Oryctolagus cuniculus: one gene and its partner. Each later gene encodes a partner of the first gene's protein in a complex. Links are inferred from orthologs where the notes say so. Each region holds a gene or a part of one and is shown in the gene's direction. Other genes may lie near its edges.

Region 1 (4,415 bases):
GGGCTGGTTTGTCCCCACAGCCTTGGAAAAAAGCACTTGAAACTGTTGCAGCTTCTTTGGGCTGTATCTGTGACAGCTGGGGCGTGAGTGTGATGGGTTCTTATCTGCCACCCCTTCCGCCCGCCCCGCACCCCCCAGGACAATGCCCGGGTTTGTCCGCCATGGGCTGCAGCGCCCGGCCCAGGATGCGTTCCGAGCTGACGCAGCCTCCACTTTCCCGCAGCTCCCACGTGGGGGCTGGGACTCCAGAGAGCTCAGGTCAGCACTGGGTTTGCTAGGGCAGGTATTGGGGTGCGGTGGTTACGCCGCCGCTGGGGACGCCTGTGTCGCCCATCGGAGCACCTGCTTCCAGCCCCAGCTCTGCTCCCCGCTGATGTGCACCCTGGGGAGTGTGTGTGCGTGGGTCCCTGCCACCCCCTTGGGAGACCTGGGTGGAGTCTCCCTCTTGGCTTTGACCTGGCCCAACCTGGGCTGGGGGGGTTGGGGGGGAATGAACCAGTGGATGTAAGATCTCCGTCTTTCAAATAGAAATACTAAAAAGTAAAAATAAAGCGGCCAGCGCTGTGGCGCAGTGGGTTAATGCCCTGGCCTGAAGCGCCAGCATCCCATATGGGCGCGGGTTCTAGTCCTGGCTGCTCCTTTTCCAATCCAGCTCTCTGCTGTGGCCTGGGAAAGCAGTAGAAAATGGTCCAAGTGCTTGGGCCCCTGCACCCATGTGGGAGAGCCGGTTGGAGCTCCTGGCTCCTGGCTTCAGATCAGCGCAGCTCTGGCCGTTGCGGCCAATTGGGGAGTGAATCAGCAGATGGAAGACCTCTCTCTCTCTCTTTCGCTCTGCCTCTCCTCTCTCTGTGTAACTCTTTCAAATAAATAAAGAAATCTTTAATAAAAATAAAAAGAGTCTAGTTTGGGTTGTGTTTTCTAGATGATGAGGGGACCAGGCTATTTTTTAAAGGATTATTTGGAAGCCAAAACGACAGGGTGGGGGCAGGGGGAAGAGAGAGAGAGAGGGAGAGGGAGGGAGAGAGGTGTCTTCCTTCTGCTGGTTCACTCCAAATGCCCACTCCTGACGCAAGTCCACAAGAGCACCGAGTTCGGGAACTCTGGTTTGGCGGCCCCGGAGCGGGTCCAGCTGCAAAATGATGGGGAGACGGGAAGTGGAGAGAGGAGGAAAGGGGCAAAGTCAAGGACCTTGTAGCCAAAACGGCCCCGAGCAGGCCCCGGGGTGCTTCAGGCCTGTACCCCAGGGTCACTTCAAGCCCTGCACAGCAGGGGAGCCACACACGTCTTCCATAGAGCCAGCAAGGGGGGGGTCCCCGTGGGCAGGGGTCGCGGCTGCTTTGCTGCTACTGGGCGAAAGCAGCCAGTGCTCGGGCCTGTGTTTCAATAAAACTTTATTTACAAACACAGAATTTTCTTCCATCAAGCGGGGCCTGACAAACGCTTAGCCCCTGCTCTGCTCTGTCAGTCAGCAGCCAGGACCTCCAACTTCCAGAACTACACCTGCCCCAGGGCCCCGCCCACTCCTCGACGTCATCGGCCCCGCCCCGGGGAGGAGCCGCGCGTGCGCGACCGGGGACTCAGCGGAGGCGGGGCGGGCTTCGGCTCTGACTTCCAACATGGCGCACGCGGGTGGCGGCAGCGGCGTCGGGGGCTCCGCGGGCCGAGGGCTGAGCGGCGCCCGCTGGGGTCGCTCGGGCTCCGCGGGCCACGAGAAGCTGCCCGTGCATGTGAGTGGCACCCCCTGCCTGCCTTCGGGGACCCCCGTCGCGCGGCCCCCGCGGCCTGCGCCCCCTCACCCCGGCCCCACCCGGCCCCGCTTCGGCCTCCCCTCTGCGCAGCCCGGGACTCCGGACCCCAGACCGACCCCTCGGAGGCGCAGCCCGCTGCCCTTGCTGCCCGGGACCCCGCCGTCCCGTGCCTTGCCCGCCCCCGCGACCCCTGCCCACCGGGACCCTCCCCGTTCCCGCAGGTCGAGGACGCGCTGACTTACCTGGACCAGGTGAAGATCCGTTTCGGCAGCGACCCTGCTACCTACAACGGCTTCCTGGAGATCATGAAGGAGTTCAAAAGCCAGAGGTACCCGGGACCCCCCATCCCCATCCCACCCCCCGCCGCGGGCTGGAATCGGGCCAAGCAGACTGGGGGACCCGGCTCCCCGGGCCGCCTCCCAGCGGGGTGACCTTGCACAAGGGGTTCATCTCCCGGGGCTTCGACCCCTCCAAAAAAAACCCAAAAAAAATTGGGGAAGGAGTTGTAGCCACGATTGGGGGGGGGTGCGAGGTTGGGGTCTCTTATTTTAAAATGCTGGTTTTGAAAAGTTCAGTTTGGTCCTCATTGGCTCCCGCTAGCCCCGGGGCTGCTCAGAAGTAAGGGGTACCAAAGGCTTAGGGAGGGACCTGCCACGCGCCCAGACTGTTGGGAACGCTGTCTTGGTAAGCTGGAGGTAGAGGGGGCCCAGACCCTCAGGTGTGTACTGTTTTCTTATTTATTCGCGTGAGAGAGAGAGCGCATGCGCGCGAGAGCGAGCGTCCATCCGCTGGGTCACTCCCCAAATGGCTGCAGCAGCCAGGGCTGGGCCAGGCTGGAGCCAGGAGCCGGGAGCTCCATCCGGGTCTCCCACGTGGGTGCAGGGACCCCCAAGTCTTCCTTCGCTGCGCCGGGGTCTGGAGTGGGGCTGCCATGTGGGATGCGGGCGGCGCAGGCCGTGGCCCGTGGGTCCTGTCCCCGCGACTCGCGGAAACCCGGCTGGACAGGTTTCCTTTCTGGGCCGCTCCTGCGGGGGCCCGGCACGGGGGGGGGGGGGGGGCTCTGCCCTGGCGTTCTTCCCGCGCCTCCCATACTTTGTCGCAATCCCGTTGCTCTGATGGGAGCCTGTGTCACAATCCGGTACCGTGGGGTTGAGCACGTGGCGTCCCCAGCCAGGCGGCGGGCCCTTCTGCTGTTCACGGAGTGCGTGGCCAGCAGCGTCTGGGGGAGCTGAGCCCCGAGACCCCTCTCCCTGGTCGCCCGAGGGGCGGGTTTGCAGGGGAGCGGAGGCGCGGGGCTCTTCCCCGGCCCACCGGCCGCCGTGTCTGCCCCTCCCGCAGCATCGACACCCCCGGAGTCATCAGGCGCGTGTCGCAGCTCTTCCACGAGCACCCCGACCTCATCGTGGGGTTCAACGCCTTCCTGCCGCTGGGGTACAGGATCGACATCCCCAAGAATGGCAAGCTGAATGTGCAGTCGCCCCCGTCAGGCCAGGTACGCGCGGGAGGGCGGGGCAGGTGGGGCGGGGCGGGCGGGTGGGCGTGGCCTTGGCCTGCTGCTGCCCAGGCGCGGCTCCCAGCACGCGATCAGAGTAGGCGGGGCCACCTCCACGCGCGTCCCTGGGCTCCTGACTGGTCTGTGTGGAAGATCTCGGGGCGGCGCCCTGCCGACACGGAATCTCACGTCAGAGCCGGAAACGCCACGTGAAGCCGTGGCGTGCGGCTTTCCCAAGCGTGCCAGGCAGGCTCGAGGGTGTGTGTGTGCACGCGCGCGTGCAAGCAGCTTTGCTTCGTTTAATTGCTCCTGGGGCACTGGCTCAGCTCAGGCTTGTTGGCCACGGCTCCTTCTGTCTCGGGGTGACAGCTGCCCGGTCTCCCAGCCCCTGGGACGCAACGAAGGGCCGCCTAGCTGCAGGTGCGGGAGGTGACCGAGGGCTTTGCCTGCACCTCCTGCTGTTGCCACCTGCGGCATCCCTGCCCCGCCCCCTCCCCAGTACTCCCCGCTGGTGTGAGGGAGCCGGCTCCGCCTCCGCCTCCAGCCCATGCCCCGCCCCGTCAGCGAGGGGCAGGTCTGGAAGCACCGGGTGGAGGCTGCAGAGGGGCCGATGTGTCCGGGAATCAGGACCTGGGCAGAGAGCAGCTCGCGGGGACGTGCCCGGGGCCAGCCCCTCCCCGTGCGTGCACGGCGCACGTGTAAACCCGGCTTGCCCACACAGCAGCACCGCCCCCTCGCCACTGAGGACTGAGCCGCGGCCTGCGTCTCCATGGGGAGAGGCTTGGAGGCGGGGCCGGGGCTTCAGGCCGCCAGAGCCTTAGCGGGTTCAGCTCCCCAGTGCGGGGCAGCAGCGTCGCCCGTGTCTGCATGCTCTGTACACACCGGGGCATCCCGGATGTCCCCACCCTCGCCCGCTCACAGCGCTCACCACCCCTAACCCCCTAAGTGGGGGGGTCACCCCACTTCCCCGGGCCAGGTCTCGGCAGGAGCCGCACCGGGAGGGTTACTGGGAGTGGGTGCCTCCCGGCAGTAGTCCCAGGGCCCCGCTGTCCCCCAGGGCTGCTGTCCAGATGACGAGAGCGGGCACGATCCTGTCCCCTCCCCAGGGGGTGGAGGTGACCAGAGCGCCCCCAGGCTGTGAGGTCAGGACTTTGCCTTGTGTAGCTATGTGACGG
Region 2 (3,645 bases), on another chromosome or scaffold:
GCTTGTCAGCTCTGCTGTGGCCCTGGCCGCTGTGGCGGGAAGAATCAGCGCCTCCCAGGCCTCTCACCCTCCTCTCCTCTCCTCTCCTTCCGTTGCAGTGGCTCTGTAGTGTTGTTGCGCTCCAGTGCAGCATATTGAAACATTTATCTGCTAAGCAGATGCCTTCGCATTGGGACTCTGAACAGACAGAGAAGGCTGATATTAAGCCTGTTATTGTGACTGACAGCTCAATCACCACTTCCCTGCAAACAGCTGACAAGGCACCTACAGCTTCCCACTACCCCTTGTCCTGCCCCTCAGGGTTTAGCACCCAGAACTCCCTGAGCTGCTCTCCACCCCACCAGCCCCCAGCCCTAGAGGACATCAGCTGCAGTTCTTGTGCGGAAAAATCCAAGAAAGCCCCTTGTGGGACTGCCAACGGGCCAGTGAACACAGAGGTGAAAGCCAATGGCCCTCACCTCTACAGCAGCCCCACTGATTCCACGGACCCCCGGCGACTTCCAGGCGCCAACACCCCCCTACCAGGCCTCTCACACCGGCAAAGCTGGCCTCGACCCCTCACGCCACCAGCGGCTGGGGGGCTTCAGAACCACACCGTCGGCATCATTGTGAAGACAGAGAATGCCACTGGCCCCAGCTCTTGCCCCCAGAGGAGTTTGGTTCCTGTCCCAAGCCTGCCCCCTTCCATTCCCAGCTCTTGTGCCAGCATTGAGAACACCAGCACTTTGCAAAGAAAGACTGTCCAATCACAGATAGGACCTCCGTTGACAGACTCAAGGCCACTGGGCTCACCCCCAAATGCCACCCGGGTGCTCACTCCCCCCCAAGCAGCAGGAGATGGTATCATGGCCACAGGAGCCAACCAACGATTCTGCTCACCAGCGCCATCATCAGGTGAGTGCTACTCAGTCTGGGGTGATTTTACATTCTTCCTGGCAAGACCTAAGATTCCAAAAGCATTTATACTGCTGTGACTATGTCACATGAATTTTTTTTTAATACTGATTTACTTAAAAGGCAGAGCATCAGAGAGAGAGGGCAAGGCAGAGAGAGCTTCCATCTGCTGGTTCACTCCCTAAAGGGCCACAACAGCCAGCTCTGGACCAGGCCAAAACCAGGAGCCAGAAATTCCATCCAGGTTTCCCACATGGGTGGCAGGGGCCTAAATACTTGGGCCGTCCTCCACCATCTTTCCAGGTGCATTAACAGGAAGCTGAATCAGAAGCAAAGTAGCTGGAATTCATGGAATTCAAACTAGCACTCTGATATGGAATGCCAGCATCACAAGTGGTGGCTTAACCCTGTGTGCCACAATGCTGGCTCTCATCACGGGATTTTGATCTCTGTATTGTTTGTTCTCCCCCCCACAGCCATTTGTGTAATAGAAAAGGAAGCATATTGTCAACCTGTCCCCGTTTTTATAGGTGGGACTGCTTAGGCTCTGAAAGCTTACATGATTTCCTTAATGGTGCCCAGTGGCCGGATTAGAACTGCAACCTGAGTCTCCTGACTCCTTCCCCCACTTTCCAGGCCTAGACTTCTGGCTGTTTCGTTTTGTTCTATCACCTTCAAAAACAGCATCATGCTATCTGGAACCACTGTGGTCTAGGTAATGGCCTCAGTGTTTCATGTTTCACACAAGACTAGAGCCATGCCTGGTAGAGATTTTGAGCCAGCTCATTTGAGGAACTTCCATGTCAGGGAAACTGGGACAGAAAGTATCACAGTGTTTTAGAGTAGCTTCAGAGTGGGATGCCCGTGGAGGTTGGTCTGGCTCAGAAGCTTGCTCTCAGGCTCCATGCTAAAGGGCATTCCCTTAAGTCTATACTTGGCCCAGTATGGACCTGCTTGCTCAGCTGCCCCTAGTCAGCACTCAGGAGCCCAAGGTTGCTGACCCCAGCATCTGAACCAGGTTTCAGATGCTGCTGGAACCCCCTGTGGTCTCTCCTGTCCGAACTGAAGCCGGCCTCCTAGTCAGCTGGGAGTCTCGGTAACCAGGTGACTGTGATTTCCCTGCATGGGGGCCCCTGGTCCCAGGATGGCCCTGCTCCCAGGCTGTTTTTCTGTCTCGGTTTACCTTTTCATATCAGCCTGGATAGCTTCTGCACGCTCTGAGTCGTACTTCAGTAGGTAGGAATTACAGAGGAAAGTACAACTTCCTTTAGAGGCAGCAGGGTGGTGGTCATGGCCCAGAAAATGAAGCTGCCCCACCACTTTCCCAAAGCAGTAGATCACAGTGGCTCTCAGTGCTCTGGAGACTGCTGCGTTCCCTGGGTGCATTGTCATTCCGTTTGCCCTTCCTCACCACACGTTTTTAGCTCTAGGAGTTCCAGAACCTATGGGTTGAGAATCAAGAAGGGAACATCACCTTTGGTCCGAAATCCAGACCTGTCTCAGCAGTGGGGGATTGGATCAGTGGGTTTCCCTCAGGCTACGTAAGTAACAAGTCTTCCTGCTCCGTCCCCAGATGGCAAGGTCAGCCCCGGCACGTTATCCATAGGAAGCGCTTTAACCGTACCCTCTTTCCCAGCCAACTCTACTGCCATGGTGGACCTCACCAACTCACTTCGAGCATTTATGGATGTCAATGGAGGTGAGTGCGTGAGCTGCTTCTGTTCTACCAACTGCTGGGGTGCAGGGGCCTTCCTTGTCCGACATTTGGCTCATTTCAGAGACAGAGAAAAGAAACAATGCCTGATCTCAGGGGACTAAGGTGTGGAGGGTGTGGAGTGCCCCTTTGGGTAGAGAATTGGAGTAAAAAAGCTAGCTCTGCCTTCTACACATGCATGTACCTGTAAAGACAAGGGAAAACAAGGCTGAGCTGAACCAGTGAGCCAAGAACAAAGTGACTTCAGCAGATCACCTGGCCTTCAGAGCAAAACTGGGAGCTTCCTCCTCGAAGTCAAGGAGTCATCAACCCCCAGAGTCAAGGAGAAAAGGCACAGATCCTGACCTCTGTGAACAGAGGGTAGATAGAAACCCAAGTCTCAAAACCAGACAACCAGGCTGTCCCCGTAGGTAGGCAAGTGGTTTATTTTGCTCTGCCTTTTTAGGACCACTTCACCCAAAGTTACTCTGCCCAAATACCCACATGCACATGGCGAGCTGCCTGGCTCTGCTTCCTTGAACCCCTCTATACTCGATGCTGTTTGACTGGATTTCAAAAATGCTGAACTTTTTGCTCTGTGACCCTTAACTACTTCCACATTCCATTTCCACCTCAGCTGCTTTTTAATCTTTTTCTTTGATTAATAGAAATCGAGATAAATATGCTGGACGAGAAGCTGATCAAGTTTCTGGCCTTGCAGAGAATACATCAGCTTTTCCCCTCCCGGGTCCAAGCTTCACCAGGCAGTGTCGGGACACATCCACTGGCTTCCGGAGGGCACCACACAGAAGGTGCGCATGCACACACCACACAGCACCACTGCACCACCAGCTCTCCCCTCTGTGTGTACAGCCACTTTACTTCCATGGAGAATCTCAGCTTCCAGTATCTCGCATCTCCTTGTGTGCTTTTAAAGGGCTTAGTAAAGCACTATGGCTTTTTTATTCTCCCTCAGAGCAGGAGTGAGATGGCAACCACAGCTTTTTCTGTTCAGTCTTGGGGAAGACATTTGAGACACAGTGGAGCAGCTCCCAGTA

What was found.
Region 2: the proteins of SIN3B (region 1) and PHF12 are in contact, whole or in part, in a cryo-EM structure (PDB 8BPA), measured with the Homo sapiens proteins. The link is inferred for Oryctolagus cuniculus from reciprocal best matches to the Homo sapiens genes SIN3B and PHF12. Residues at the interface, in NP_056075.1 of Homo sapiens: Glu307, Phe311, Leu318, Glu322, Val323, Tyr324, Glu325, Asn326, Leu328, Arg329, Cys330, Ile331, Leu333, Phe334, Asn335, Glu343, Leu347, Pro350, Phe351, Lys354, Phe365, Lys395, Arg396, Glu490, Glu493, Leu494, Val497, Tyr545, Arg546, Ile547; in NP_001028733.1 of Homo sapiens: Leu20, Met21, Gln23, Ile24, Gln25, Leu27, Leu28, Pro30, Pro31, Lys32, Thr33, Asn264, Leu266, Val267, Leu269, Val271, Val273, Phe275, Thr276, Asn278, Arg279, Ser280, Arg282, Cys292, Pro293, Leu294, Pro316, Asn317, His318, Ile319.

The regions. Positions count from the first base shown.
Region 1 is NC_091447.1:65,101,919-65,106,333, forward strand, and holds the start of SIN3B (paired amphipathic helix protein Sin3b), read left to right. Parts: upstream 1-1,569; 5' UTR 1,570-1,616; coding exon 1,617-1,727; intron 1,728-1,969; coding exon 1,970-2,076; intron 2,077-3,086; coding exon 3,087-3,240; intron 3,241-4,415.
Region 2 is NC_091448.1:44,391,400-44,395,044, reverse strand, and holds part of PHF12 (PHD finger protein 12), read left to right. Parts: intron 1-98; coding exon 99-894; intron 895-2,467; coding exon 2,468-2,593; intron 2,594-3,255; coding exon 3,256-3,399; intron 3,400-3,645.